Linked DNA regions of Nothobranchius furzeri. The protein of the gene in region 2 interacts with the protein of the main gene of each other region in a biochemical or structural test. Links are inferred from orthologs where the notes say so. Each region holds a gene or a part of one and is shown on either strand. Other genes may lie near its edges. The genes, in order: hpf1 and parp2.

What was found.
Region 1: the proteins of parp2 (region 2) and hpf1 form a complex in vitro, tested with the Homo sapiens proteins (2 studies listed by BioGRID). The link is inferred for Nothobranchius furzeri from reciprocal best matches to the Homo sapiens genes PARP2 and HPF1.

Annotation. Positions count from the first base shown.
Region 1 is NC_091747.1:78,435,356-78,439,837, forward strand, and holds the start of hpf1 (histone PARylation factor 1), read left to right. Parts: upstream 1-1,594; 5' UTR 1,595-1,597; coding exon 1,598-1,747; intron 1,748-2,356; coding exon 2,357-2,540; intron 2,541-3,403; coding exon 3,404-3,590; intron 3,591-3,695; coding exon 3,696-3,794; intron 3,795-3,984; coding exon 3,985-4,138; intron 4,139-4,482. Other genes in the region: ppp2r2ca (protein phosphatase 2, regulatory subunit B, gamma a), read right to left, coding at 173-236. UniProt on the Homo sapiens protein: Cofactor for serine ADP-ribosylation that confers serine specificity on PARP1 and PARP2 and plays a key role in DNA damage response.
Region 2 is NC_091751.1:41,154,858-41,159,225, forward strand, and holds the start of parp2 (poly [ADP-ribose] polymerase 2), read left to right. Parts: upstream 1-1,451; 5' UTR 1,452-1,586; coding exon 1,587-1,659; intron 1,660-2,220; coding exon 2,221-2,430; intron 2,431-2,524; coding exon 2,525-2,680; intron 2,681-2,795; coding exon 2,796-2,866; intron 2,867-3,057; coding exon 3,058-3,108; intron 3,109-3,226; coding exon 3,227-3,323; intron 3,324-4,368. Other genes in the region: mettl17 (ribosome assembly protein METTL17, mitochondrial), read right to left, coding at 13-100, 178-327, 435-576, 1,015-1,083. UniProt on the Homo sapiens protein: Poly-ADP-ribosyltransferase that mediates poly-ADP-ribosylation of proteins and plays a key role in DNA repair.

The DNA.
Region 1 (4,482 bases), on a different chromosome or scaffold from region 2:
TTTAGAATCACTAAAAACATTATCTTATTTCTAAAGCTCCTAACCACATTTCTATCTTCAGCCTGAGAATTTAAAGATGCAAAATAAGATCAGAGTTTGTCAGAATAAAAAATAAAACCAAGTTTCCTTTTTCAGTCACTCTAATCCGACCCTAGAGGTGAACCCAACTCACCTTCAGTGACGTAGTCTCGCAGGAAGGTGTGGTTGATTTTGGGGTTTTCAGCGTCCTCGCCCATCTGAAGCTGAAGGTAGGTGACCCGCCACCACACCCGTCCTAAGAGGAAGGGTCCAATCTTTGATATCTCGTCCCACCCAGGCTCCGCCCATGCTGCTGGGGCCTACCGTAGTGGCCTGAGGCAAGGCATCCTGGGAAAAGCGACCAGCTGGGAGGAGTAGAAGTTGTGTAAGGAAGAGGGAGGAAAGAGATAAACAGGATTGAATCGAGAAGGTGGAGGAGAGGGGTGGATGGCCTGATGTTGAAGAGGGTTTTGGAAAGGAAAACATGAAAGATGTAGTTAGTTAACTTCCTAAATGGTTGCATGTTCAGTGCTCTTGCTAACATGTGCTTGAATGAATTCATGTACTGTGGAATTAAAACAGGAAACCAAACATCACAAGCAGACACAGAAAACAGATCCATCCGAGGGGAACTGCATGCATTCAGCGAGAAGAGAAGGATGGAGCAAAGATTATATAAAAACATCAAACATTCATTCTGCTGTGCCGGAGGTTGTAAATGATCCCAGGGTGTGGTAGTCCTCCCAGCCCTCTGTCTCCCTCACACACAAACACACACACTTCTCAGATAGATAGTCCTTGACAGAGATCAGAGGAGAACGCGCTGTCTTGCTTGTGCTGCAGGAAGAAGGGGAGGGGGGGGGTTCAGGCCACAGCTCACCTACCAGTCCACCCGCTGCTGCTGATCCTGCTGCTGGTGTTCGTACACGTCCCTCTGCTGCAGTGTGCTCAAGCAGGGCCTCGACGTGTGTGAGTGTGTGTCCGCCGAAGGGAAGGGAGAACGAGCAGGAGAAAAGAGACAGCAAGGGTGGTGGTACGAGGAGGAGAGGCAAAAAGGAGGAGGAAAAGAGAGAGAGAGGGACAGTGAGGAGGAGGATGCAGGAGCGCTGGATTGCTGATGCTGAGGATGTTGTTCTGTGCAGCATCCACCGTGTGTCATGGCAGCCTCCTCTAGGAGAAGCCTATCACAGCACAGCTGTCACTGGTGGCTCCACCCACTGCAGGTGGTGAAGGGTGGGGGGGCGACCAGCAGAGGGAGACATTTAATGAGAATGGAGCGTGGTGGGGCCAGCCACGCTTTAAAATGAGACTGCATTCATTTTTTTATTGTCTAAATTAAACAGCTGAGTCAACTTAAAACTTAATTCATAGAAATGTGTATTTTCCCTTTCATTGGATGATTTTAATTATTAAAACTAACTGTTATTGTTTTTTATTTTTATTTTCTTATATTTATATATATATATATATATATATATATATATATATATATATATATATATATATATATTTGTGTGTGTGTGTGTGTGTGTGTGTGTGTGTGTGTGTGTGTGTGTGTGTGTCTTTAGGTGTAAAATTGATGATGTTTACACCGCCACGCCTCACGGGGGCACTGACGCACGACGTCACGGTGAACCCTCTACCACTGTCTTCAATCTGCAGAAGAAGAAGACGAGACGAGAGGAAGAAAATGACAGGGCGCGCAAAAAGAAAACCCAAAGCTATTCAGGTAATTTCTCCTCCTCCGATAAGCTTCCTGCGCTGAACGTGTCAGGTGAGAAGTCGGGCTCTCCGGGGCAAACGCAGACTTCTGTCTGGTGTCGCTGTTTTCCGGGTACATCTGTGTGAGACCATCGGGCTGAACCGCTGGAGCTGAGTGAGCGGCGGCGCTTCCAGACAACATGGCAGCAGCTGCTTCTCTGCTAAACTGTGTTTCCAGTCTAATCGTGTCCGCTTCGCATTTCTGACACGTGCGTTCGCATCTGGAGCGTTTGAGATGGGTCACCTGTCGCGTGCCCTGCAGGATAACTTGTGCATGTGTGTTTTATCCATAAAAGCTGAGCTTTAGATGGTCTCACGGCTACCTCTGTTCAGCTACTATAATAATGTTCAACCTGCATAAAACACCTTAGGTGTTGGGGACGCAGGACGCCCACTGGTGCACCTGTGTAATAAAACAAACCGTGACTATGGAGGCCATAGGAAACAGGAGGGTGTTAAACTTTAATATAATTAATAATCAGAGAGCAGCAACAGGCTGAGACAGGAGTGACAATGGTGTAACCTGGGTCCACAAACTAAAACTTGTAATTTTTCTTTTCTTCCTCTGATTCATTAGGGGTCGGATTCAGCCAATGGAGAGGTGAAGAGGGTCCGGACTGATGAGTCCACACCTGTGCTGCTGTCAGAAAGGAATCCAGAGCAGCGGGATGAGTTGACCCGGCTGTACGGTTTACAAATGCCAGAAGATCTGTTCCACTTCTGGGATTTCTGCAAGGAGCTTTGTCCCGACAACCCCTGTGGTACGTCCTGACTGCTCTCACCACTGATGGGACTAAAGCTGCAACTGGGATTTAGGCCCTGTCCACTCGTAGCCGGGGATCTGCCAAAACGTAGATATTTTTCTATGTTTTGGCCTGTCATCCACACGAAAACTGAGTTTTTTCACACGAAAACGGATCTTTTTAAAAACTCCGGCCAAAGTGAAGATCTGCGTTTTCTCCGTTTTGGGTGTCTGCGTGTGGACAGACAAAACCGGAGTTTTAAGGTCCGCAACGTCACTTTCCACGACAAAAAAATGCTGACATCACGTGTGCGACCTGTGTTTACACTAGCCGACAGCATGGATGCCCTCAGAGCCGCGCTCACTTTATCAATTGTCCAAGCGCTTTTTGCTTGTTTGTTTTTGCAAGCGGAATTACTGCTCCTTGCGGAAGAACACAGACGAAGGACGAGGTTAAGAACGGGGGAAGTACTGCCGCCTACAGGTCTGGCATGTCCTTAACGTATTTATCCGGGTACGTGTGGACAGAGTTTTCTTTAAAACGCGGTGGTGTGGATGCAAGTTTTTGGAGGGGCGGATATTCATTTTTAAAAAACCGGCTACGTGTGGACTAGGCCTTAAACACTCCTCTTCAGCAGTCCTTAGTTGGTGCAAGAGGCTAAATGTAATGAAAGCACGGTGAACTGTTTCTAGTGGGGCATTTGGAGGCTGTCTTAGAGGGTTATCCTGCAGAAAATGTGTGTTTTAATGTTGTTTGACTTTTAGGTGACGTCATTTTCCACGGAGTCCATCATATTGTTGTTGAGTTATTTATTTTATGCTGATGTAAGGGTTTCTAACCTTTCCAGTATGTGCGTGCTTCTGTTGTGTAAACCTGTGCAGGAGCGCTCAAAGACACGCTGGGCTTGGTGCTGGTTGGTCCATTTGATGTTCTGGCGGGAGCTCACAGAATCTCCAAGAATCTTCAGCCTAACTTCCACCTGCACTGTCGGTACTTCTACGACCCCCCCGAGTTTCAGACCATCCTGAAGGGGAGCGAGGACACCCAGCATCACATGGGCTACTACAGGTAGCGTCGCCACTTTTCAGCTTTGAGCTGAATCGATGGGAGAGCCTAAAACTGGGACAACAGATCACGAGTTACTGTTTATTTATTTATTTATTTATATTCCAGGGACACGGATGACTCCCTTCCTTCGTTTGTTGGGGAAAATGAAGCCAAGAAGGGCTACACCATAGCACAAATGGGGGATAACATATTTGCAGCTGTCTAGTGAGTCTCAACCATTAGTTGTTTTTCTCATTAAAGTTAGTCAACAATTAAAACAGGTTATAGAAGAGGATTGCGACTTTTTTACAGGTTATTTGAAATATTTCTTAGTTTTTGCACTTTCTGTCTCCGCTTTTGGTGTTCATTCCTCTCTCTAACCGACCGTTGATGTCTCTGATCTCTTCTCCGTCAGCCTGTTTCTGCAGAGGAAGAAGAAGGAGAGGAGCAGTAACGGCGCAGGAGGAGACGCTTTGGAAAGCTTGGAGGCAAAGCTGAAAGAAAGGGTTGTGACTTTAGGCTTGTCTTTAGAGGCGAAGACCAAAAGTATGAAGCAGAGGGACAAGAAGGTAAAGTTCACCCACGATAGGACAAAGCACTCACCTGCCGAGGTCGCTGCAGGACTTCTTAGATCTGTGTTTGTGTGTTGCTTACTGTCCTGTTGCCAGTGGATTTAGTTTCAGTACATTTAATTATTTCTTGGACATTGCTGGCTAGATCTTAGGGAAACTATAATATTACCATTATTAGTTAATAATTTTAGCTAGACTTTTCTTATTTTGTTTGTTTTTAAAATAAAAAGCAGAATGAAATGAGGTGTAAACTGCAGAGTTAGACTGGGGAGTCCACAGAGGTTTTTCTAAGGCTTTTCCCCCATAACCCTAACGCCGGGGACACACCGGCCGCGGAAGCG
Region 2 (4,368 bases):
AGTTCTGATTACTTCAGGGAATTCCAGTGATATGTAGTTTGTCTGAGCTCTGAGAGAACCCTTTTCCTGATCTGATTCCTCAGCGCTTCCTCGTCAATATCTGCAAAGAGAAACATATTTATTGTCTCCAGGGGCTGCTACATGGATACATCGTTACTTGATCCCACCCTCGCTCACCTCCCATCTTCTGCATGGCTTTCTCCCAGAGTTCTTTCTCCAGACCCAATGCTTTCTGCCTCAGAGTCACGTCCTCAACCATCCGCTTTCGACTCCACAAGTAGTTTATGAGTTTGTGACAGCGATCAGTAAGCTGGGTCACCTGAGCTTCTACACAAAGAAAAAACAAACATGTGGGAAAATTGTCAGTTTTATTTATTATTATTATTATTATTATTATTATTATGGCAGCTAGAGTTGATGACAGCTGATCTCACTTTGAATGACTGACTGTGCAGCAACTTGGAGCTCCTGGGGTAGCCGAAGTGTATTCAGGCTGGTCATACCAGGATGTTTCCTGTGGGGTTCTCCTTTAAGGAAATCTGCTTTGGGCTGTGGGTTAGCAGCAGCACTCACAGTCTGGAATAAATTATTATTACAAAGTGTCAGAATAGGAAAATGAAAAGCAGAGTGGCTGCATTATATGACTTTGTTAGAGTACATAATCGACATATAAAAATATGTGTATGAGGTACATGTTTGTTTGCATATAAATAATTCCAAAAATATACAAAAAATTTATGTAAGGTGTGAAGAAAGCACAGTCTTAGCAAAATATTAAGCAGTACTAGAGAAAAGAAAAATACAGGAAAACAAGGAAATAAGGACATTAGGATAAAAATACTAGTCACTGCAAAACTGTGGAAAGAAATATGAAAACAAATAATTTTATGTAATATTCAAACCGGGCTACTTTTCTACAAACTGACATGTCATTTACAGACCATAAATGTACACAAAACATAAATGACCTCCAGTGAAAATGATGCACTCAAAGACACCTGGTGGAGTACTTACCCTGAACAAAATCTTCACCACAGCCACTCTCTGACTGAGACCACAGGCTTTATAGCTACTTGATGCCATGTTCTCGGTGTCTAAACGGCACTGAAATATTGGTAAACATTTACTTTCATCCACGCTATTGTAAAGCACACCGACCGACTGATTTGCATCAACAAAATAATTCCGGCCACCACTGAAAGTGGAACCATCGAGCCTTAAAGATTTGTTCCTACACGAGGGAAACAAGAAGAGTTCTTTCTCTGATCTTGTTTACAGATACTGGCTAACATTCGGAAACAAATAGCACATAAAAGAAGGATTAGATTAAAAATGTTTGTTTTACCACATATACATCATTAGAAAAATCATTATTTGGTTGTAAACAGATGTATATTGCTGCGTTGCTAACTTCTGTATTCATCGCTAGTTAGTTACGAAGTGCGGCATCTTTTTAATAAACCATCTTCGGTAGGCTTTGCTCTCTACAGGCCTATCCGAAGAAAAGAAAGTTCCCGCCGTGTTTTCTACTGCTTCTCGATTTCTGCTTTTCCTGCTGTTAAATAAACTTGTTTTGATACACAAACATGAGGCGAACCAGAAGTTCGAGAAATAAAAGCCAGCGCGCACAAGAAAACCACGAAGTCCCGTCAAAAACAGGTTGGTGTTTGCTTTTAGCACATCATGGAAGGAAGCAGTGTAGCCATTAAACATGCCCGGACAGAGAATTAGGTTTTATTTTCATCTTCACAATTCTTTGGTAACTATGTCCTGCACTACCTATTACTTATATTTGACAACATTTGTGTTTTAACTAATTGAATCAAAACTTGGCGCGAAAACTGGTGAAAAGCACGAATATTAAGCAGTTCTGGAGGAAATCACTAGAATAAAGTGACTCACTGCTACATTTAATTAATTTAGTAATAACTAAAGCCTCGTTTGAGTGTAGAAAAACAATATAATGGCTCTGCAAAGTCCAGTTGATTAACACATCTTTGTTTAAAAAGTAGTAAAAAGAAACTACATAATTACATTTAATGAATGAAATCAACTCAGGGCAGAAATTTGATGTTTAGAAATTGATTCATGTTTTATAAAGTCATATCAGTATTTTATAGTTCATAAAAGGTCTGTTGTGGAATATTATTTTCAGTTTTTCCTATAATGCAGCACTTAAACAACTGTTTTACTGTTTTCTGGCTCTGTTTGTGATCACAGTGTGGCAGTGGAAAGGAGATGAAGGACAGTGGGAATCGTACCCGCCTACAGCCTGTGCCTTGCTTGATTCAGCCATTTCTTCAGGGAGGACATCCGTCACTCTGACTCTTGGCTCGGGGGCAGCATATGAAGTGGATTTGAAGAAGATGGTCCAGATTAACCCTGTGACGAAATACAAGAGAAAAATCCGCTCCAAGACTGTAAAAACAGGTGTTTTTTATTTATAGAAATCAATTCAGACTGAAGATGGCAAGACACATTATTTGTTGATCGTACATTTGTTTTTTGTTGTTTGTTTTATAAGAGAGTTTACAGGAAGCTGATGATGAGGCTGCTCATAACACAGAATTCATTCAGGTAAAAGAGGAAGAGGAGGAGAATGAGGAGCAGCCTACCGCTAAGAGGAGAAGAGGTCAAAGCAAGAGTGCAGCAAAAACCGAAGAGATGCCAAAAGAGGAAGGTAAGATTAATATAGTTTTGTTAGCATCAAAGTAAGTAAATAAACAAAAATGATAAAAAGAAAAGGTAATCTTGGCATCACTTTTCCATGTTACCTTTATGTTTATGCTGATCAGAGGTGGTGAGGACAGTGGTGATGAAGGGCAAAGCTCCAGTGGACCCTGAATGCAAAGCTAAACTTGGAAAGGTACATTTACAGAAATGAAACCTGCGATTGTGGTTTGACACCCATTTGAAACTAAAACCCCAGACACGGTTTCGTTTGTGAGCTCTTGTTTGAGCAGGTTAATCGTTTTATCATGCAAAAGCAAAATCTTTCATTAGAAATGAAAACATTTTATTTATGAGTCCATTCAGTCAAACATGCTTCTCTTTCAGGCTCATGTTTACAGTGAAGGAGCTGATGTTTATGACGTGATGCTAAACCAGGTAAAATATGTAACAGCATTTATTCATCATACATCATTCTAGAGAATACATAGGCATTGATTGTAGTTTTTATAAATATTTGTCATTTGAAGCAGTGATAAAAATCTTTCTTTTGCAGACGAATCTGCAGTTTAACAACAATAAATATTATCTGATCCAGCTTCTGGAGGACGACAGCTCCAAAGGTTACAGCGTGTGGATGCGATGGGGCAGAGGTGAGGTTGATGTCTGCAGATTTCCGTTAACACCATCGACATAAATATACTGGACAATTCATTTCCATAGGCTCCAATATCACGTTTTTGAGGCCAAATGGGAGGTGGCCACCACCGCCATTTTAACTGTCACAGGTTCCGTCAAGCCCAGACAATTCCATAAAAGGGAAGAGAGGTGGAGCTGAGGGTGGGGCTGTAAGGCTGGGATCAACTGACGACACCCGGTCGAATTAGCCACAAGCTAACCTGAAGCTAACCCAAAGCTAATGCGGAGGTGGGAGCTAAGCTAACGGAGGTAGCAACCTAGCTACAACCGGAGTTAACTGTGCACAACACCAGAGCTTCTGAGTCAGAGATACGCCGGGCTGACCGCTGGGTAAAACTGGGTGGAACACAGAGGTCTTGGAGAGCTCCACAAGCCGGCAGCCGCACAGCAGACAAGTGCCGCTGCGATCTGAGATGCGCAGAGCTGCCACTGGGGAGAATAGGGTGGAAAGGTTTCCATCCCAGAGCTCCACAAGCCGGCAGCCCGTGCAGCAGACAGAAGCCGCGATCAGACAGAGATGCGTTGAGCTGCGGGGAGGGGAGAACGAGTGGAAAACATCGGTCTCCCGAGAGCTCCACAAGCCGATAGTCGGAACCCAGCTCCACCAACATGTTATATTTCAACCCATTTTCTAAAGTGCAGCATTATGTTAAATGCACTGGGTTTTACCCCTATTGCATTTAAATTTCATGGTTAAACAGTACATGTTAAAATCTAAGCTCAGCTCGGCAGTGACCTAAAATACATAAATACAATTTTACTTACCGAAATAAATGAAGTGGAGACTCCTTGGACGCTCTATTAGTGCAGTTAATACCACAGCAAGTCATTTTGTCCAACAGTTGCACAAATAATATCCAAAACAGAATACACAAACACAGAGACTCAAAATCCTGGAGCAGTTTCCAAGCCAGACCTAGGCTCTACTGAGGCCTTTCCCCGGAGCTAGCTCTGTGGTCACGTGGGTCTGATGCTCATTAATTATACAGAATTTTAGGC